Linked DNA regions of Tamandua tetradactyla. The protein of the gene in region 2 interacts with the protein of the main gene of each other region in a pairwise test. Links are inferred from orthologs where the notes say so. Each region holds a gene or a part of one and is shown on either strand. Other genes may lie near its edges. The genes, in order: ZNF576, AP4B1 and TEPSIN.

The links.
Region 1: the proteins of AP4B1 (region 2) and ZNF576 interact in binary tests that used the Homo sapiens proteins (3 or more experiments, as listed by UniProt). The two-hybrid records come from large-scale screens. The link is inferred for Tamandua tetradactyla from reciprocal best matches to the Homo sapiens genes AP4B1 and ZNF576.
Region 3: the proteins of AP4B1 (region 2) and TEPSIN interact in binary tests that used the Homo sapiens proteins (3 or more experiments, as listed by UniProt). The link is inferred for Tamandua tetradactyla from reciprocal best matches to the Homo sapiens genes AP4B1 and TEPSIN.

What each region holds. Positions count from the first base shown.
Region 1 is NC_135342.1:21,196,081-21,203,429, reverse strand, and holds the start of ZNF576 (zinc finger protein 576), read left to right. Parts: upstream 1-4,247; 5' UTR 4,248-4,413; coding exon 4,414-4,438; intron 4,439-4,668; coding exon 4,669-4,770; intron 4,771-6,363; coding exon 6,364-6,848; 3' UTR 6,849-7,349. Other genes in the region: IRGQ (immunity-related GTPase family Q protein), read right to left, coding at 2,797-3,328, 3,519-3,636. UniProt on the Homo sapiens protein: May be involved in transcriptional regulation.
Region 2 is NC_135337.1:7,778,292-7,785,598, forward strand, and holds the start of AP4B1 (AP-4 complex subunit beta-1), read left to right. Parts: upstream 1-4,297; 5' UTR 4,298-4,417; intron 4,418-4,458; exon of another isoform or gene 4,459-4,675; intron 4,676-4,753; 5' UTR 4,754-4,830; coding exon 4,831-4,943; intron 4,944-7,190; coding exon 7,191-7,307. Other genes in the region: DCLRE1B (5' exonuclease Apollo), read right to left, coding at 2,393-2,575, 2,932-3,097, 3,788-3,976.
Region 3 is NC_135332.1:73,513,903-73,521,247, forward strand, and holds the start of TEPSIN (AP-4 complex accessory subunit tepsin), read right to left. Parts: upstream 3,039-7,345; 5' UTR 2,983-3,038; coding exon of another isoform or gene 2,827-2,982; 5' UTR 2,562-2,826; coding exon 2,514-2,561; intron 1,572-2,513; coding exon 1,499-1,571; coding exon of another isoform or gene 1,469-1,498; intron 1,156-1,468; coding exon 1,064-1,155; intron 865-1,063; coding exon 771-864; intron 1-770. Other genes in the region: NDUFAF8 (NADH dehydrogenase [ubiquinone] 1 alpha subcomplex assembly factor 8), read left to right, coding at 2,827-2,982, 3,100-3,210, 3,928-3,975, 5,381-5,422. UniProt on the Homo sapiens protein: Associates with the adapter-like complex 4 (AP-4) and may therefore play a role in vesicular trafficking of proteins at the trans-Golgi network.

The DNA.
Region 1 (7,349 bases), on a different chromosome or scaffold from region 2:
ATATTCATCATCATGATCATTTCTTGGAACATTTGCATCTATTCAGAAAAAGAAGTAAAAAGAAAACAGAAAAAAATTCATACATACCATACCCCTTAACCCTCCCTTTCATTGATCACTAGCATTTCAATCTAAATTTATTTTAACATTTGTTTCCCCTATTATTCATCTTTATTCCACGTTTTACTCGTCTGTTGATAAGGTAGATAAAAGGAGCATCAGACACAAGGTTTTCACAATCACACAGTCTCATTATGAATGCTATTATCATTATACAATCATCTTCAAGAAACATGGCTACTGGAACACAGCTCTACATTTTCAGGCAGTTCCCTCCAGCCTCTCCACTACATCTTGACTAACAAGGTGATATCTATTTAATGCGTAGAATAACCTCTCGACTCTATTTGGAATCTCTCAGCCATTGACATTTTATTTTGTCTCATTTCACTCTTCCCCCTTTTGGTCGAGAAGATTTTCTCAATCCCCTGATGCTGAGTCTGAGCTCATTCCAGGATTTCTGTCCCACGTTGCCAGGAAGGTCTACACCCCTGGGAGTCATGTACCACGCAGACGGGGAGGGTGGTGAGTTTGCTTGTTGTGTTGGCTGGAGAGAGGGGGCACATCTGAGCAACAAAAGAAGTTCTCCTGGGGGTGACTCTTAGGCCTAATTTTAAGTAGGCTTGACCTATCCTTTGTGGGGTTAAGTTTCATATGAACAAATCCCAAAATTGGAGGCTCAGCCTATTGCTTTGCTGTCCCCACTGCCTGTGAGAATATCAAGAATTCTCCACTTGGGGAAGTTGAATTTTCCCCCTTTCTCACCATTCCCTGAAGGGGACTTTGCAAATACTTTTTTATTCACTGTTCAAATCACTCTAGGATTTATTGGAGCATCACTCTGGACAAACCAACAAAATCTCATGCCCTACTCAAGGTTCCATGTACTTATGGTGTTCAATTAAGCTGTCTACGTAAGTTATATTAGGAAATGCACTAGTCAAAATATAAATTTTGTACCAAATAAACATTTTTTGCTTTAGTCTCACACATAAGGTAAAATTTTAAAATATTGATTACCATCTATTTCCAGCACCCGGAAGTAATGACATTCCTTTGTTCTTCCTCATGCAAAAACATTTTTTAAATTTAGTACATGGAATCTTGAACAGGGTGTGAGATCTTGTTGGTTTGTTCAGATAAGTCTGATGCCCCAGTATATCCCAGAGGAATTTAGACAGCAAGTAAAGAAGTATTTGCAAAGTCCCCTTGGGGGACTGGGGAGAAAGGAGGAAATATACAACTTCCCCATCTGGGGAATTCCTGATATTTTCTTAAACAGTAGGGACAACAAAATCAATAGGCTGAGTCATTGATCTTGGGGTTTGCCCCTATGAAACTTATTCCTGCAAAGAATAGGCTAAGCCTACTTCTAATTATGTCTAAGAGTAATCCCTACAGAACCTCTTTTCTTGCTCAGATGTGACCTCTTGCTCTAAGCCAACTTGGCAGGTGAACTCACTGCCCTCCATGTTATGTCAGACATGACTTCCAGGGGTGTGAATCTCCCTGGCAACGTGGGACAGAACTCCCGAGATGAGCCGGGATGCAGCATCATGGGATTGAGAAAGCCTTCTTGACCAAAAGGGGGAAGAGAGAAATGAGACAAAATAAAGTTTCAGTGGCTGAGAGATTCCAAACACAGTCAAGAGGTTATCCTGGAAGTTATTCTTAGACATTATACAGATATCCCTTTCTAGTTTATGTTGTATTGGAGTGGCTGGAGTGAAGTACCTGAAACAACTTTTGAGTTGTGTTCCAGTAGCCTTGATACTTGAAGACAATTGTATAATGATATAGCTTGTACAACTGACTGTGTTATTGTGGAAATCTTGTATCTGATGCTCCTTTTATCAAGGGTATGGACAGATGAGTAAAAAAATATGGATAAAAAATAAAAGGGGGGCATACAGGGTAAAATAAATTGGGTAGATTGAAATACTAGTGGCCAATGAAAGGGAGGGGTAAGGATATGGGATGTATGAATTTTTTCTTTTTCTGGAGTGATGCAAATGTTCTAAAATGATCATGGTGATGAATACACAATTATACAATGATACTGTGAGCCACTGAGTGCATACCATGTATGGACTGTACATGTGTGAAGATTTGTCAATAAAAACATTGAGAAAAAAAACTATCGGGTATATGGAATTTGGAGGCAGGGCTTATATGAGGCAAAGCTCACAGGGCGTGGGCTTGGAGCAAAAAAGAGAATTGGGATTGTACTTGGGCCTGTACTGCAGCACTATTTGACATGGAAAAGGTCCCAAAGAGTGCTCTGTCCTGAGGCCGGGAAAGAGGACAACCAGTGAGGGGAGAAGCTTCATCTACTAGTTCCTACCTGGGACGTGTGGCTAAGGCAACATTGGGTGGGTGAGAATAAGGAAAAAAGTTAAGCATTAGATCTGGACAAGAAGCTACCTCTCTGAGAGTTCTGATTGTCTATAAAATGAGGTGTATGGGGCTTGGGGAAAAAATTCAGCAGCAGGTAGCCAGCAAGTGGGCACAGGCCAGGACCAGGAGCTGACCCTTAGTTGGGGGTGGAGCGCAGATGACAGAAAAGGGCCAAGCACAAAGCCCTGGCCTGGAGTGGGGCCTTGCTGACCTCAAAACCTGTGTTGAAGGATGGGACTTACAGCTTGCCCAAAATTCACTGGAGCTGAGTCCTCGCAGACTTCAACAAGCACTTTAAGGGCCCTTTTCCCCACCCCCACCCTTAGTTCTCGCACTCACCTCTGCAGAGCTTCCGCTTGGCTCTCCAGCACCGCCCGCAGGCGCTCCAGCTCTTCGCAGCGGTCACCGCTGCCGCAGCGGGTTGGCACCACGAAGAGAGTCGCGGCTCCCAATCCTGCGCTGTCCAGCAAGGCCTCTGTCTCATCCCGGGCCCGGGACTCATTCTGTGAATCCCCGGGCTGGAGGGTCCGCACAGCCAGCAGCGGAGTCCCCCGGGCCAAGGCATCACGCGCCGCCTCTCCCAGCGCTGGCGCCAAGATCTCCCTGTTCCCCTCGGGTCCGGGCAGCACCAGTACCAGCACGTTGGCCTCTGCAGCCCACGCTCCCGGCGCTGCGGGTGGGCAGCTCAGCTCGCCCAGGAAGAGGCCTGGGCCGGCAGCCCGAAGGATGGGGACCCCAGTCTCCGGCCTTTCCTCGGTGGTTTCGAGTGTCTCCACATCCTTGTCGCACAGCGCTGTGATCAGCGCAGACTTTCCGGAGCCCGGGGGCCCCAGAAACAAAGCAGTAACGTCACCCCGTGATGAAGGCATGGCTGGAAAGCAAGATGGGAAAGACCCCGATCAGGGAATTTCCCCAGCCCTTTTCTTTCCTAGTCTCCCCACTCCGTACCCAGAATCAGTCCTCCGCCCCGACCCCTCCTCCCATTCCTCAATGTCATTCCCCAGGATCCAGAAACCCAGGCGCCAGGCCGAACTCCCCAGGTACGCAGGCATCCTGCTTACCATCTTTCCGGACGCAAGCGTTTGCTTCAAAAATTCGAGAAACGCGGGCTCGAGTCCCCTTCTCCCTCGGCGATATTGAGTATTTTACTTCCCCACCCCCACCCCCCACCACCACCATTTCCCGGAGCACTTCCAAATCACTAACCGAGCTGTCGACACACGGGCGAGCGCAGTTCGTGGTGGCCGGGTCAGGCCCTAAGAAGCCCGGCTCCTGTGCTCCGGGAGACGGAGGACGGAGAGACCAGAGCGCTCGGATTTGGGGACGTCGGGACCCGATCCAGGGGTTTTGATATCAGTCCCTGGAGGAAGAGGCGTGACTCGAAAGCTTGGATTGGAACATCTGGGCGGGGAACAATGAAGGTGCCAAAGCGCCTGCGTACCGCGAGCGCCTAACCATCCGTACGCAAAAAGCTTAAGTTTGTACGGCAATGGCGTCTTGCGACGTCATCATAACGCTCCCCCTGCCGGAGAAGGACCCCTCCCGCATTCGGAGCCCTGCGTTGGCGCGGCTACGCCGCTGCCCGGTGGTAATCTGGGATTTCGGCTTCCAGGGGCTCACGGGGCGGAAAGGCGCGGCAACTGTGGTGAACGACTGGTAGGCGCAGCCAAAGGCAGCCTTGTGCTGTAGGGAGAAAGTCAGAGGGCTCCGGAAGTCGGGAGCAGGGAACCGTGGGCAGTGCTTGGGACACAGGGACACGGAGCGGGTGAAGGCGTGCGTGGAAGGTAGAAGTAGTCACAGGATGCCAGAGGAGGAGGTCTCCCGGGAAGAGGCGGGCTAAAGGGTGGGACCAGAGTTCACGTACCAGACCTACGACAGGTGGGAGAGACGGGGATCGGAGGGACTTGCTGGTGTCAGAAATCAAGGGTCCCACGCTCTGAATTCAGAGTTAGAACCATGCAGGATGTCATAGGTCACACAGGTGAGAAGGCTATAGGGGAGTCACGAACTTGGGGAGTGGAATCCTTTGGGAAGTTTTCATCAGGTTAGAGTTCAAGGAGATGGCATGTCATGGGGGTCAAAGGTTGGCATGGAGAGTCTCTGTTGCGGTCAGAGGTCACAGGATTAGCGGGCCCTCTGACTGAGGCTGATGACAGATGAGCTGCCTCACTTGATTTACTATTCTGTCATTCATACTCCTCTATCGACTAGAGGAGTCTCAAGTCTCCATGGAGGACCTGCACCCACAAAAGACCATGGAGCAACAGGACTCGTCAAAAGAGAGGAGTTCCCGCAGCCCGGGAGGTGACATCTGTGAGTACTTCTAGCCAGAGAGGGTGGGGAACAGGAACTGATGCTAAAAGGATCTCTACAGCATTTCAGTGTTCAAGGCTGTGTGGGATGTGGTCCCTCCCTGAACTGCCTAACAGGAACTGCCTCTCCCCACCCTCACTACCCTCAGGTACACCCACCCTGCTCCTGCCACAGAAACAGGAATGGGATGTGGTTCAGAGGCAGACGTTAACATCCAGGACAGGCATGGGGTGGGAGATATAGATGGGAAAGGGCAGATTGAGAGAGAAGGCCTGAGGTTCTGGCCACAACTCTGTCCTGGACTTGCTGTGTGATTGGGCCTCCATTACCCTAGCTGTCAAAAGGAGCTGCCGTTACCCATCTCACAGAGCTGTTGGGGGGAATTTGCTGCAGAAAAAGAGAAAGTTGGATGTTAACAACGATAGCCGTTTGACTTAATAGCAAGCACTTCTACTGAATACTTATGTGCCAGACAGCACTCTGAGTTTAACACTATCTCATTAAGTCCTCCAAACAAACCTAATGAAATTGGTATTATCACTTTACAGATGAGAGAACTGAGGCAGAGAGAGATTAAGGATTAATAAGCATGAGAGCAGTAATGTCAGTGCCCTCCAGCCCAAGACCACCCACCAGGAACACACCTGTAGTTGAATACCGCAAGGGAGAACACACACCAGGGGGAGCTGTGGGTGGTCTCAGAGGGTATAAAAAAGGACTTACTATAGGATTAGGGTTTGTGTTAGGCAGGTTTGGGGAGGGTTCAAGGAAGCAGAGTTTTGTTGTGGATTGGATGCTGTCAGAAAGCAGGGGCCATTCTCTGATTAGACATCTTAATACATCTTATCTGGGAAGAAGGAACAAAGTGAGGCTGAAGCTGTGATTGTTAAAGCAGCAGCAGTCACTCCCATTAGCCGGGATAGGGGGATCTTGGGTCATTTTTGTGATTTGGACAAGATTCATGTTTTTGTTGTGTTCAGACATGACTTTAGCATGGTCTCGTTTTTTGTCTTGATTCTTCAAGGTCTCTGCATGGTCTTGTCTGATGTTCATGTTCTGTTGAAATTGTATATGTTCAACAGAACACTGAGACTTAGCTATGGGTTCCAGACCAGCTCTGGGATGTCAGGCTGCTTTTCTCAGTAGTAATAACTGCAGACCGCTGTATAGCACATATATATTTTCCAGGTACTTGAAAGAAAATAACCCATTTATCCCTCCCAACAACCCTATGAGGTGATACTGTTATTACCTCTTTTTCCAGAGGGGGGAACCAATGTCTAGGAAGTGATGGAGCCAGGATTCAATCCCAGGTAGACTGGCTGTGGAGATTGGCCTCTACCACCACACTGCTGCTGCCCATCACTCCCTGGGTTCCATCCTGGCTCTACTGGATGTTGCTTCACTTTTTGAGCCTCAGTCTGCTCATCTATAAAACAGGTTTAATAATAGTTCCCTCATAACTCTGTCCAGCACAGGCATAGAGCCTGGCCTAGAGTGAGTACTTGGTGCTATTGTTGGCCTGATTTCGGGGATCAGGAGAGGTCCTGGAGCCTCCTGCTGGCTTCTCCTGACATTTTCCCCATCCTTCAGGCCATCCAGGGGCCCTGCAGTGTACGCACTGCCTCATCACCTTCATCGATTCCAAGTTCCAGGAGCGACACATGAAGCGGGAGCACCCAGCGGACTTTGTGGCCCAGAAGCTGCAGGGGGCCCTTTTCATCTGCTTCATCTGCTCCCGCTCCTTCCCCTCCTCCAAGGCCCTGATCGTCCATCAGCGCAACCATGGTCCCGCCACCAGGTCCTCCCCACCGACTGCACCCACGACTCCCCAGCCCCCCTTCCCCTGTCCTGACTGTGGCAAGACTTTTGGGTGGGCCTCTTCTCTGAGGCGGCATCGCCAGGCCCACGAGGCCCGCACAGCTTCTGGCCCCTTTGCCTGCACCGAGTGTGGTCAGGACTTTGTCTGGGAAGCCAGGCTGCACCACCACTACATCCAGCACGCCCGAGGGGAGCTCTGGGGGCCTTGGAGAGATTTGCTTCCCTCCCCAGGAAGGCAAAGGGCTTCTGATAAATAGGACCCGAAAGATATTCATTTGGGGCTTCAGTCTTTGGAGAATATGGAGACCTTTAGGGAAAGAGTGAAATCAGCCTAACAGTGAGATCTTTTGTTTTCAATCAAAAATGTTATTTGTATTCCCCTCATTCCAATTAAATAGCTTTAAATCCCAGCTTGCTGCAGATTATATAATAACCTTTCATGCTTCCCAGATGTGTGCCATGGGCTTTTGGAGCAAAGGGCACTGCATTTGTGCTTTAATGGGCTACAGGGAAGATGAGGTGTGGCTGACTTGCAAGACTGCAGTGTTTCTAATGCAGAGCAACTTGGGCCTTTGGGGCTGGGGCAGCAGAGCAGGAAGCTGGACTCTGAGTCACACGGGGGCTGCAAGCTGAGTCTCTGGCTCTTCCTTCTCAAGGAGGGGCCACCCCATTGGATGGCATCAATCCCTCTCATAATTTATGTACCATTTGAATAATTTTGCATACTATTCTAGGCATGGAATATTTTTATATGTGTA
Region 2 (7,307 bases):
GATGTGGAGAAGAGTGTAGAAAGGAAGATTATGAGTAAAGATAAAAAGAAGGAAAATTAGATATGACTTATAAAATCCAGAAGGCAAAATAGCAGAAGAAACTACTACCCATGCAGTAATAACACTGAATGTTAATGGATTAAACTCTCCAATCAAAAGACATAGTCTGGCAGAATGGATCAAAAAAACAGGACCCATCTATATGCTGTCTCTACTCAAAGGACATGAGGCCAAGGACACAAATGGACATTTTACACATCAATGTTTATAGCAGCATTATTAAGAATTACCAAGAGATGGAAACAGCCAAAATGTCCATCAACAGACAGCTGACTAAACAATCTGTGACATTTACATAAGATGGAATATTATGCAGCTGTAAGACAGAATAAAGTTATGAAGTATGTAACAACATGAATGGACCTTAAGGACATTATGCTGAGTGTGATTAGCCAGGAACAAAAGGAGAAATACTGTATGGTCTCACTGATATGAACTGACATTAGTGAATAAACTTGGAATATTTCCTTGGTAACAGAGACCATCAGGAGATAGAAATAGGGTGAGATATTGGGTAACTGGAGCTGAAGGGATACAGATTGTGCAATAGGACTGAATATAAAAACTCAGAAATGGACAGCACAATACTACCTAACTGTAATGTAATTATGTTAAAACACTGAATGAAGCTGAATGTGAGAATGATAGAGGGAGGAGCGCTGGGGACATAAATGAAATCAGAAAGAAAGATAGATGGTAAAGATCAAGATGGTATAATCTAGGAATGCCTAGCATGTATAATAATAGTGAAATGTACAATGTACAAATTTTAAAAATGTTTTTGCATGAGGAAGAACAAAGGAATGTCATTACTGCAGTGTGCTGAAAATAGATGGTACTTAGTAGTTTAAAATTTCAACTAATGTGTGAGACTAAAGCAAAAAATGTTTATTTGTTACAAAATTTATATTTTGACTAGAGCATTTCCTAATATAACTCATGTAGATAGTTTGATTGAATGTCATAAGTACTTGGAATCTCAGGTAGGACATGAGATTTTGTTAGTTTGTCCAAAGTGATGCCCCGATGAATTCCAGAGTGATTTGATCAGTGACTAGAAAAGTGTTTGCAAGCCCCCTTTGGGGAATGGTGAGAGTGGGGAGAAATTCAACTTTCCCTAGTTGAATTCCTGATATTCTCACAAGCAGTGTGGACAACCAAAGCTATAGGCTGAGCCCCCAGTCTTGGGGGTTGTTCATATGAAACTTAACCCCACAAAGGATATGTCAAGTCTACTTAAAATTTAGGCCTAAGAGTCACCCCCAAGAGAGCCTCTTTTGTTGCTCAGATGTGGCCTCTTTCTCCAGCCCACATGACGAGCAGTCTCACCACCTTCCCCTTCTCTGTGTGGGACATGACTCCCAGGGGTGTGGACCTTCCTGGCAACGTGGGACAGAGATCCTGGAATGAGCTGAGACTCAGCATCAAGGGACTGAGAAAAACCTTAGAATGAACTGAGAATTAACATCAAGGGATTGAGAGAACCTTCTCGCCCAAAGGGGGAAGAGTGAAAGGAGACTAAGTGTCAATGGCTGAGAGATTCCAAACAGAGTTGAGAGGTTATCCTGGAGGTTATTCTTATGCATTAAGTCAATATCACCTTGTTGTTCAAGATGTAGCAGAGAGGCTGGAGGGAACTGCCTGAAAATGTGGAGCTGTGTTCCAGTAGCCATGTTTCTTGATGATGATTGAAAAATGATATAGCTTTCACAATGAGACTCTGTGAATGTGAAAACCTTGTGTCTGATGCTCCTTTTAGCTACTATATCAACAGAAGAGTAGAACATATGGAATAAAAATAAATAATAGGGGAAACAAATGTTAAAATAAATTTAGTTTGAAATGCTAGTGGTAAATGAAAGCGAGGGGTAAGGGGTATGGTATGTATAATCTTTTTTTTCTCTGTTATCATTTCATTTCTTTTTCTGTTGTCTTTATTTCTTTTTCTAAATCGATGCAAATGTTCTAAGAAATGATGAATATGCAACTATGTGATGATATTAAGAATTACTGATTGTATATGTAGAATGGAATGATATCTTAATGTTTTGTTTGTTAATTTTTTTAATTAATAAAAAATAAAAAAAATGAAAAAAAATGCATAGAGCACATTGGAATGTGGCGAGTACTATAAAAAAAGAGAAAGTAGAATTGGTATAGGGAATCAGGAGTCGGGAATATGGAGGGGGTGGTAGGCATGTCGTGATTTTAAATAAGGTAGTCAGGGCAGGTTTCATGAACAAGGGGAGATTTGTACAGGGACTTGACAGATTGAGAACTGTCAAAGAACCTACATTCACTAGCTATGGGTGAGAAAAAGGAAACTACTCACCAATCTTTATATTATGCTGTGGGTGCTTTCGAATGAGATTGACAATCTGGCGGGTAGCTTCTTGTTGGGAAGGAAGAACCAAGGCTGGGTTGCAATTGGTGTTGTCTAGGTATAAGGTATGGATCTGCTTCCCCGGTCGCAGAGCTGGCTCCTTCAGCATGGCTGGTGTATATCGAAAATCACCTGGAAGAAGAATATAAGGGGGGTGGGAGGTGGGCAGAATGTCAGAAGCAAAAAAATAGAAGCCTCCCCTACCCCCAACAACAGATGGAAATTTGCTTACTGGCCCATGAAAAAACTATCATATGGTCTGGCACTGGATGTATGTAGCATAGCATCTTTGTAGAAATGTCCTCATTTTGCTCTTACTTTTCAGTTACTCTACATAAGGCTGGGGCTCTTCAAAGAGTAGGATATGATTCAAAGGGTCATTGTGCTCATATGGAATGAAGCTAGAAGGCTGCCAGACTTCTATTAGGAGTAAAGGTTGCTAAAGAGGAGAGTCTGAGAAGATGGAAATGACCCCTTAGGAGGCCCACCTGTGTAGAGGATGGTTCCAAAGTACCCTTCAAAGAGGAACATGACAGAGCCAGGACAGTGATTGGCATCGATGAGGGTTACAGTCATGGTCTGTCTTCCAAGTTCATCTAGGGGCAGTACGTGGCTCTCACCAACCTCCAGGGCTCGTATCCACAACTTAGATACCTGAGGAAACAGCTGGTCATCCAACAACAACAAAGTCCCCTCCCTGATACCTCCCTGGATCAGGGACTATCACTTTCCCAAATCAGAAAGCTGGGCAAATTCTGAGCTCCCCTGAAGCAGAAGCTATAATGGGGATCCCCTAACAATCCACCCTGGCCCCTCCCTCTCAGCACTCCACCCACTGTCCACAAAACAGTTTAGTAAGGTGATTCACAAACTTTTCTGAGCATAATAACCCTTTGGGGGCACTTGTTTAAAAATTTCAGCCAAATTTTCCTGGCGATTCAGGTGGATAAATGACAGAGCTGGAGAATTTGTATATTTAGCTAGCATAACAGATGGACTCTTACAATGAGGTGAGTTTGGGGAACATCCTAGCTTATGCGAAAAGATAAGGAATTAGGTTACCTCATTTTCCGGGCTGGACTAGAAGATTTCTCTAATTATATGTGAAACATGCCAGGTTGGCCAACTGGAAGCCACACCCCTATACTAGGCTAAAGATGCATTTGTGGGTCCAAACAACTCCCAAATTTGGAAAATGAATCCTCCTAACTCTCCATCTCTTAGACTCCATGGTTGTGACAGCTCCTCTCCCCCAGTTTCTTCCCTTGAGCTTGGAGTACCCACTCAGATGCCCAGCTCAGCTCTCTGGAGGCCCACTCCAGCCCCCCGCCACCACCCCCATACCTGTAGGTGACGATGCAAGAGGTAGGCAGTGACTGGGGAGCAGTAGAGGGGACGGGCCCAAGTGCTGGACAGACCCACGGTGTGGTCCGAGTGCATGTGGGACAAGAAAAAGAGCCGCGCGGAACCAGCCCGGCGCAGGCTCCAAAAGTCCACAGCAATGGGCGTATGGGGGATCAGGGCCCCGTTCATGGCCGCGGGGTTGGAGAGTCACCAGTGGGATCTTCACGGGGACTGGGCTGCTGAGTGAGACTTCCCCAACCGCGTCCCGAAAAGAGTCATGTCAGGTTAAGAACAGGGCCAGGAATCCTACGGGAAATCCAACCAGAAGAGGAATAAGTTACTGGAGTGGGCACAGAGAAGGAAGTGAAAGCGTTGGCGGGAGGCTGAGAGTGGGATCCCGGATCGCGGAAGACGCTCGGCACAGCGTCACTCCCACCCGCGCGCGGGAGCCGGGACCAGCCGGGCGCTCAAAGCGCGCGCTTATAGGCGAGACAGGCCGAAGTAGCTGATTTCCGATTGCCCGCAGCAGCTCCACCAGAGAGGGGCGCGTTTGCGCTTAAGGTGAGAGGGTGGCAGAAAGGAGCCCTGAGAGCAGGGTCCGGGCTCCCCTCGGCCGCTGGCTGGGAGAAGGTGAGTGGCAGCTGCTGTGTTTGGACTCTCGACCAGGGGGCGGGACTTCCGGAGAAGGCCGTGCTGGGCTTATCCGTGCTGGCAAGCGCGCGGAAGCGCGAGAAAAGCCGGCGACTTGGAGGTTGGGAGTCGGGCGGAGGGCCTGGAGACTGTGGGAGCTGGAGCGCTATTTGGGCGTTCGGGGTAAGGGCCTGAAGGCCCTATGATCAGGTTAACCGGGGAAAGGGGAAGGTCGAAGACTGAGTGTCCGAAAGCCAGGTTTCCGGCCCTGGAAAGCCCGGGCTGGGGTGGGGTCACGCTCTTATCTTTTCACTAACTGACATTTCCTTTACGCAGGTTCTTACATCAAAGAGCTAGAAACACGGTTTACCTGGGTGGGACCTGTGGGAACTGCTCCGTGACTCTTCCACAAGATGCCGTACCTCGGCTCGGAGGACGTAGTGAAGGAGCTGAAGAAGGCTCTGTGTAACCCTCACATTCAGGCGGATAGGCTGCGCTACCGGAATGTCATCCAACGACTCATTAGGTATCACCCAATCCCTCAAAAGCCCAAATCCCCCACTGCAATCTCTAACCCGAGCCACTCGGAAAGAGGAAATGAACTTTCGTATATGGCCGTTCTAAGATTTGGGTCTCATCCTGCTTTTCGGGAGTGTGAGCTCACTCTCCTTTATGGGACTTCTTTTATTCAGATGGGAGGTTTCACCCCATCACGGGCTTGAACAATTCAGCTTACACCGATGATTCCCGGATCTATAATAGATCTACCGCAGACCTCTTTTCTTAGCTTCAGACCACAAGTCCACGTGGAGATTAAACACATGCTCCAAATAGCACTTACATCCTTCTCGCTTACCTCAACCTGCTCTTCCACTTGTATTTGTGTTGATGAATGTCACCACCCAGTCGACCAAGCCATGAAGAAAAATGGGAGTCAACCTTTATGACACCTAGTCGTTCACTTCTCATGCCATATGGTAGGGATTCATAGTTCTAAATGTCCATTCTCCCTTTTTTATTGGCACTCAGGCCCTCATTACCAAAGCAATTGCAATAGCTTACTGGTAAGGCACCTTGCTCCTTATTTCAGTCAATGTTTTTTTCCAATATGTAAATCTGAACACATTAACTCTGTTGCTCACAGAGGTCTCAAAATTTAGTATGGACAAAAGTCCCTTGAGATGCCTTTTTAAAAAAATTTTTTTTTATTAATGTTAAAAATTTTTTTAAAAATATAACAACAAATGCAAACATTCTTAACTTATGTTCGTTCCGTTCTACATATATAATTCACAATATCATCAAATAGTTGCATATTCATCATCATGATCATTTCTTAGAACATTTGCATCAATTCAGAAAAAGAAATAAAAAGAAAACAAAAAATATTCATACATACCATACCCCTTACCCCTCCCTTTCATTGATCACTAGCATTTCAATCTAAGTTTATTTTAACATTTGTTCCCCCTATTATTTATTTTTATTCCATATGCTTTACTCATCTGTTGATAAGGTAGATAAAAGGAGCATCAGACACATCATTCATTATTCAATCATCATCAAGAAATATGGCTACTGGAACACAGCTCTACATTTTCAGGCAGTTCCCTCCAGCCTCTCCATTACACCTTAACTAAAAAGGTGATGTCTATTTAATGCATAAGAATAACCTCCAGGAAAAACTCTCCACTCTGTTTGGAATCTCTCATCCATTAACACTTTGTCTCATTTGGTTCTTCCCCCTTTCGATCGAGAAGATTTTCTCGATTCCTTGGTACTGAGTCCCAACTCATTCTAGATTTCTGTCCCACGTTGCCTGGGAGGTCCACACCCCTGGGAGTCATGTCCTACATAGACAGGGGGAGGGCAGTGAGTTTGCTTGTCATGTTGGCTGGAGACAGAGGCCACATCTGAGCAACAAAAGAAGTTCTCTTGGGGGTGACTCTTAGGCCTAATTTTAAGTAGGCTTGACCTATCCTTTGTGGGGTTAAGTTTCATATGAACAAACCCGAAGATTGGGGGCTCAGCCTATTGCTTTGGTTGTCTGCACTGTTTATGGGAATATTATGAATTCAACTGGGGGAAGTTGAATTTTCCCCTTAGGGTGCTTTTAAAAAATGTATATTTTTCATCTACTCCAAAGATCTCCAGAGATTCTGAACTTAGTAGGCTCAGGTGGAACCCCGGAATCTGAATTTTTAACAAACATCTCTGCTGATTCTCATAGGAAACCATAGTTTGAGAAATAGTGATCTATGGAATAAAATCAAAACTTACCATAGCACCCAAGGAACACCCTACCTTGAATGTTACCTCAACTTCCTGCCAACTCTCAAAAGAATGTGCCATTCTTGCCCATGTTTACGTGCCTCATAGCATGTATCATCACCTGTCTATTATCTCTGCCTGGTGAGTTCCTGCTTGTTAATTAAAGTATTACTTCCTCCGTGAAGAAAGCCTTCTGACTTGCCAACATTGTGAGACCTCTGGATTCCCACTGCACCTTGTACATTACTTCTATTATAATATTTATCATGTTGCATTGAAATTACTGGTGTTCTTTTCTGCCTCCTTACTACATTTGAATTCCTAGAGGTCTGAGACCATGCCTTCTTCAAGATTATGTGCCCAGAGCATACCCCTGGAATGTAAAAGCTGAATCTCACTGGAATGTACTAAGGGTTCAATAAGTGTTTGTTATTACCAAGACATGTATAAGTAAAACCCTCTCTATTATAGGTTTAATTTTACTTCTTGCCATGTGTTGCAGGCACATGACTCAGGGCTTGGATATGTCGGGTGTTTTCATGGAAATGGTGAAGGCCAGTGCCACTGTTGATATTGTTCAGAAGAAGTTGGTTTATCTGTACATGTGCACATATGCCCC
Region 3 (7,345 bases), on a different chromosome or scaffold from region 2:
ACCCTAAGTGAAAGATTCCAGGCCATACTGCACCAGCTCCATATTGGTGAAAGACAACTGACTGCAGTGGCCTGGGTGGGGAAGGGAGTCAGGGAAGAGGGAAGACCCACGTATTACTCAGGATCAAGACAGGCCGGGAGCCCCCTTTACTGACGGCCTCCCTGTCATGTCCTCCCACAGTCTTTTGGGAAGTGGAAGCTTGTGAGCACCCTTTGTTTGGGACTCTGGGAGCAGCCCTGGAAGAAGCGTGAACCCACGACGGGGAGGTGAGCCGGGAGGAGGTGTGGAGGGCAGGTGTGTCCTTGCTGCCCGGCCAGACGCTCACCAAGGTGCCCGCATGGGTCTGGCCCTGGGGATCGGGGGGAAGGCTGGTGCCTTGACTGGCCTAGGAAGGCGTGAACAGAGAAAGGAATGATCCTGCTACAGCGAGGCCAGTGCCTGTACAGATGCAAACAGAAGGAACAGCGACCCCACGGGGAGAGGCGGGCAGGGAAAGGTCAGAGAGATTGGGAAGAGAGACACCGCGCTGGCCGCCGGGAAGGATGAGTTTGGCAGGTGAAGAGCAGAGGATGGGCTGCAGGACAGACGTCTGTGCACGGACAGCATGAGGAACAGCAGGGGCTGAGCACCAGTGAGACAGGCACAGGACCAGGCCCCCGCGAAGGGAGCTTGGCAGAAGTCTTCCCCATTGAGACCACAGTGACTTGACGTCTCTGCCCACATCTGGGGTTCCCCAGTGCTCCCCAAGAGGGCGTGTGGAGCCCCAGTACCTGCGGCTTCTTGGATGAGGGCAGAATTGCGTTGGAGGATAAGCAGGAAGGAGGAGGAGCCGTGGCTGCACAGGTAGAGCAGGATCTTCAGTACCTGGGGGGATCAGGACAGGCAGAGGTTGGGTGGGGTGCATTCCTAGGACACTCAGGTGCAGGGCCCAGCAGCCAGCCCCGCCCTGCCATAGCCCATATGCCTTTCGTTCTAAGGTACACACCTGGGGCCCTGACTTGTCCCATCCTGAGAAGGACCTGGGACAGTTGTAGACCCACACCACTGTCACCCACCAACTCACCTTGAGCTTCACGTGGCCAGAGCCATTCTGCAGCCGGCTCAACAGGTACTCCAGGAGGCACTGGCTGCTGCCCAGGGACTCATGGGAGATTTCTGGGGCACGTGGTTAGGGAAGGAGCAAGCTGACCCTGGGGCCCACTGGTGGATGTGAGGAAATGGGATTTCCCACTGCCATCTGCTTGGCTTTGTGTGTCCAACATGCACGCTAAGGGACCTACTGCAGGCTGTGGCCTCAGTCCAAAGGCTACGTTTGGGTCTCCGGTGTCTCCAGGCCTCAGTGAGCAGTGATGCCATTTTTTACCATGCCTGCACCTGGTTGCCATGGAAACAGAGCCCGTGGAACCCAGCTGGGAGAAGAGAACCCCAGCAGCTCCCTGTGCCGCTCAGGGCCCCACCATCTGCTCACCCAGCCCCTGGGGATGCCGAGGAAGGATACTAGCAATCTCCTCAAACAGGTATCCGGGACATGGAGCATCATCGTCCGACGTCCCTTTCAGGAGAACTGGGAGCTGGAAGGGAACAAGGGTCCCCAGCCCTAGTGAGCAGAACCACGTCCATGGGGGTGAGCCCACCGCCTCTGAGGAGACAGAAATGCCAAGGCAGCAGCCAGCAGAACAGCCTCAGTGCCCTGAGGGCCCCTGGTTTCTGGGCTTACCAATGGCTTCTCCAGTTGGACAGCTGCTCTGTTCCCTACTAAGATGGGTGAGCCACCTTAAAGGCGGCTTTAACACACAGATCTATTAGACTAGGAAAGCATACCAGCGTGGAGAGCCCCCTTCCCAGGCAGGGGAACTGCAAACGATTCCACCTTGCCAGCGCCAAGACCAGCAATGCGAGACAGTTCAGAAGGAACACCTTGTGGCCCTATTTATTACCCGGAACGGGGAACCGGCCCTGCAGACATGACCACCGAAACAGGAGCGCATTCATGTTGCGTATTTTTTTACAAGCACAAACATTTATGCAACGTGCTTAGATCCTGGCACAAGCACACACTGTGCGTAGGAACAGAGGTGGAAACAGCCATTCTCCCGTTCAGCATCTGGATCAAGCAAGCCTGAACACGAACGCCCACCGGGAGGGCGTGGGGGGTGATCGGGGGCCCGGGTCTGTCAGGCCTGCACACGGTCCCACCCAAGGGAGAAGGGGGGGAGGGGAGCCCTGGGCGGGGAAGGGGGCTGCGCGCCCGCTCCCCGCACTCCCGCGCGGCCGGAGGGGGTCTGGGGCGGTCCGGCAGCGAGTTGGGACTCGCGGTGACCCCTTCCTGGTGAAGGATCGGACACGGGGGTCCACAGCTCGCTTCTGAAGGGGCCCAGCTCACTCCCGTGAGAATGAAGCCCGCACCCGGGCGACCTGTCCAGTCGGACCGGCCCGTGGGCGCCAGGTGGGGCAGAGGACGGGGGCCGGCGGGGAGGCGGGCTGGGGCCGGGGCTCGAGACGCCCTCACTCACCCGGTGCAAGAAGCTCAGACGGTCGCGCAGCAGCGGCGCAGCCGCCATGATCCCGGTCACCCTTCCGACCCACCCTCGCTTCCGCCAGGCTCCAGGCTTTCTCCAATCACCGCGCGCGCTCTACAAACGCTGGCCAATCGCTCTGGTCGGGGCGGGCCCTGGGCGCGTCTCCGGTAAACAATGTGAGCCCGAGCCAATCCAAAGCCCCAGAGTAGAAACCGGCAGTGGCAAGAGCCAATCGCAAGACTCTGGGAGGCCAGCGGCCTGGTCAAATAGAAAGCCCAGGAGAGGTTATAGGCGTGGAAGTAAACCTATGAAGCTCTTGGGTGCCGGAAGAGGATGGACCCAGCGTGGCGGCTCCCTTGGGTGCCGGAAGAAGTCACTCATGTCAACGAACGGAGCGCTCTGGAGTCGTGTGCGGAGCCGACTCCGCGCCTTCCCCGACCACCTGACGACCTGCGGGGCAGAGGTGAGGAGCCGGAGAGCTGGGGGAGCGCGGAGCGGGGAGCGGGGACCCAGAGGGCCGCGGAGGCGGTGGGGCGGGGGTCGGAGGGCCGCGGCGACCCGCGCGCGTTCCCTTCGCCAGGCTGCGGCGTACGGCAGGTGCGTGCAGGCCTCCACCGCCCCGGGCGGCCGCCTGAGGAAGGACCTCTGCGCCCAGGAGTTCGAGGCCCTGCGGAGCTGTTTCGCCGCCGCGGTAGGTGGGCGTCAGACTGGGGACGCGAGCGCGAACGTTTGGGCGAAAGGCCCGCTTTCCCTTTTTCTTTGGTGTCTGAACGCCTACGGGGGGCCTTACGCGCTGGGCGACCCGATCGACCCACAAAAAGCCTACGAAATCCCTGCTGTCCTGGAGTCTTTACCTGTTTTTAAAGTGGGTGTGACACACCAGCCCGGAAGACGCGATGCAGAGCGCTGATACGACCCTGATGCGTGTAAAAGTGCTTTATAAATCCCAAAACGCTAACAGAAACCGTAGCATCAGTGTCAGCTCTCACGGGGCCGATGCCAGTGTGAACCCCAGCGGGCAGGTTTGTCACCCAAGCTTTCCATTGCGTCTTAAACTTGGCCAGTGCTCTTGCCCAGTGTGGGGATGGTGGGTCTGTAATTAGAACCGGATCTACTGGATTGATCCAGTGGACACGTGCCCTAGCTACTGCACATAGCCTAGGAGAGTCCACCACAGATAAGTTCATTCTGGTGTGCAGCAGACTGAGAAGCCAAGCTGCATTCCTCTAGGCGAGCCTCACTAGCCTGATTCTTACCAGAAGGAATGGCAGCTGGCTGTAGTGGGAAGAGTCCATTTTCTGGGTGCTGGACTTAGTTCTTAAGCCTCTGATCTCTTGGTATGACCCTGATACATGAACCTGTCCCTTCCATTTCCGAGCTTGGCATTTTCCAATCCTTGTCCAACCAGATGCTGTGCCAGGGAAAGCCTCGTGAAAATTGCCAAGTACCGTATATGGTAAAGGATTACAACATTGTGTCTGTGTATTTGCATGAAGGATTGGGAGGAAGAAGGAAGGGTCTGAGGGGACTGGCAGAGAGACCCAAGCAGGGGTGGTCCCTGGGGAAGCCTGATGGAGCTGCCCTCCTCAATGGTGTCCCAGGACCTGCGAGAATCTGCTGCTGAGGCCTTCACCAGGGCCTTAGGCACTGTTCTGGGGCTGCTTCTCAGGTCAGCGTCACTGGGAGTCACGTCAGCCCCCTGATTCAGTTAGTCCCGGGTGGGCTGTGATGCTAGTCATCAGCTCTGATCAGCGGGAGCTGCTGGTCCAGATGTGGTACTTGGATAAAAGCTCAGTGAATTCGCTGAATCCAAGGCAGCCTTTCTTGATGTCCCAAGACCATACAGAGCAGAAAGGACTGGGAGAAGGCAGGATCACCCACACTGGGAAGCCTTCCAGAAGGCTCAGAACTCATACTTTCTGGCGATGGTTATGTCTCAGAAACTCCAGCTCCCTTCCTCCCCCAGCTGACTCCTCCTTACCTTGCGGAGGTTATTCAGCAGTGTGGGTCGCACGTTCTTGCTCTTTTCCACCTGCTTCCCTCCTGTGGCAGCCTCTGCTTTATGGCCTTCTGAGGGGAAGGGCGCTGAGGCCACCTGCACTCTGCTTGAGTAGTGGCTCTTGTGGGAGGTTCCGTATGGGAACCACAGGTCCCATGCTCCTAGCCACATGCAGATTGGGGAGTTAACTGTCCAGAGCTGTAGCCATCTGTGCCCCACCCCCTCACTGCCCTGGCCTTGCCCTATTTGTTAGTTCCTGATTCCCGTAAGGATCTCCCGACAGCACATTGCAGGCCCGTCACCCAGAGAATCCCCTTGTTTCAGTCAAACGTGCTGTTTGCAACTTCAAAGAAGACCTGCCTGCAGGCTTGGATTTGGGGGGGAACTTGAGTTTGCTGACATGGAAACTTGCTGCTGAGCCATTCTTGTGCCTGTTTTCCCTGTAGTCGCAGGGGCTGAAGGAAGCTGCAGGGGCTCCGGGTTCCCATTCCAGCCCTGCTCCTGAGCCACACCCTGGGGCCCATCATCTTAGCATAGCTTAGCCCACATTTTCCCCTGCCACCTCCTTTAACTGTGTGAGGACCGTACATGGTGCATGTTGGGGGTGTCTGGTACGGGCGGGGGGCCCTCATGGTCGGGCAACAACCAAGGTCCACACTTGGCCTGAGCCCTCTGACCCTTGAGGCTATATCCCAGACCCAGTCTCAGGGGCACTGCCCCACAGCCGCCAAGCCACGGCCACATAGACGGCCCGGGCGCCCTGTATCTGGGGCAAGCTGACATCTGGTGTGGCAGTTCCCTTCCTGTTGCCCTGGGTCTGACTTGAAAACAACCCACTCAGACAAAACACTTGATTTTCCAGGTCAAGAAGGCCCTGAAGGGAGGCCGACAGGGGGGCCCCTGAGCCCCTGAGCCCCTGGCTGTCATGGCCGGGCACCAGCCTTCGCCTCAAAGCCCGGCTTGGGTGAACCGATGGCACCAGGTGGCACCCTCCAAAAGCTCCTAGGACTAAAGAGGCCACTGGGGCTCAGGTGCTGCGTGTTTGGGCATCTTCTTTCTCCTCAGCAAGGTGGGCCGTAGCCGGAGTTGGGACTTGTTAGCCAATTTTGTGTACGTTAAGAACTTGGGTTGGGATAAGCATGATTGAGCTAAAAATAAAGACTCTGTTAAGTCCCTTACAGCTTCTCTTTTATCGTCTGTGGAGGGTGTGGGACTTGTGGCCTCCTGGGACCACCACCAAGGGCCCCAGCCCACACACCCTGTGGGCAGTAGATGTGGGAACACATTCCAAGAAAGTCTGAAGATTACTCCATCTGAGTCTAATGAAGCCTCCAGCCCTGACTACCGTTTTACATGGTACACCTGAGATAAAATTACAAGCGACACCTTGTAGTTAACTTGACAAATCCCTACTACAGGGAATCTACAGAGGTGGTCCCACTTGGAGAAAGGTCGGCTCCCACGTGGCGCCGGGAGCCCCAAGTTCCTGACCGCCGTCTCAGGATCCCTCTGCTCCCCATCTGCTCAGGCCATGTGCGAACAAGAAACTGAGAAAAGCTGCCCCCAAGACTACTGAGCGGCCAGAACCCAGGGAGGGCCGTGCGCGCCACCTGCTGGACACCTTGGGCACTGCGCCAAGGGTCTGGCCCTCACTCCAGGCGAGGTCACACTGTCCTTGGGTAGCCAGCACTCTGGCTGAGCCTGTTGAGGAGGTGGGGGTGGCCCCTGTCAGCACACCCCCCTCTTAGAAATCTCTCCCAATCAGCCCAGTGCTTTCTTAGGTGCTGGAAACTCACATCTCTTGATGGGTGGGACAATCTCAAGACCCTGAAGCTTCCAGGGTGCTTTGGAGCAGAAGCCGGTCACTGCTGAGAACCTCGGAGGGTTCTGCCCCGTCAGAAACGTGCCCCCCCATTTCACAAGAACTGCAGGAAACCAGACCTACAGGCATCTAATGTGCCCCTGGGGGTGGTACCAGCAACAGCCAGCTCCCTCCCACCCCACAGCTATGAGACACTGAGGTGCAGCTGGGGCCCGAGGGGGGCAAGGCTGGGCAAGGGAACGCACCTCAACCCCACCCCTCTGGTTGAGTTTCTCCCCACACGCTCCGCTGCTCCAACTGGTTGCAACTCGCTTTCTTCACTTTGTCCCGACCTTAACCTTCATGGTCAGAGGTCACAACCAGCCCTTAAGCCTTCTCCTGTGTCCTCTGACGAACTCCAGAAGGGTTTCAGGTATGTCCCCCCACAAAGATTTCCATGTCTGGCTCTGCAGGATACACTGTTCCCAGGCCCCCCTCAAGTGTCTTCTTACCAGGCACCCCCACTGCCATCCTTCAAACCCCGGTCCGTGCTGCCGAGTGAACCTGACCGCACCACGGCCGGGCCGCAGCTCCATACCCGTTTCCTTCTGACCTTCCTCAGCCCCTGTCCTCTGGTCCACCCCAAACTCGCTCCACCTCCAACAGGGTGCTTATTCGAGAGGTGGCCTGGTGCTGCCTACACCATCAGCAGCGCAGTCAAGATCCAAGCTGGCAGACCAGGGTGTGCTGTGAACTGCTCCAGGCTCTAGAGCCACGCCTGCAGTTCTCTGAGGACTGAGGCCCATTTTATCCTCACCCTCAAGCCACTGGAGGCTCTCCAGCAGCTGAGATGGCTGAGCTGCTTCTGTCCTCAGCTGAGGGTCTTTCCTGCCCTGGTCTGGGCTGGGTGGAAGCATGCACCGCTTCCCCAGCAGGCCCAGTGCATCCAGGCATCTCACCCCTGCTTGAAGCTCGCCTGGTCGCAGGCCTCTCCCGGCCACCCTGCCCATTTAGAGCCCCCTCTAG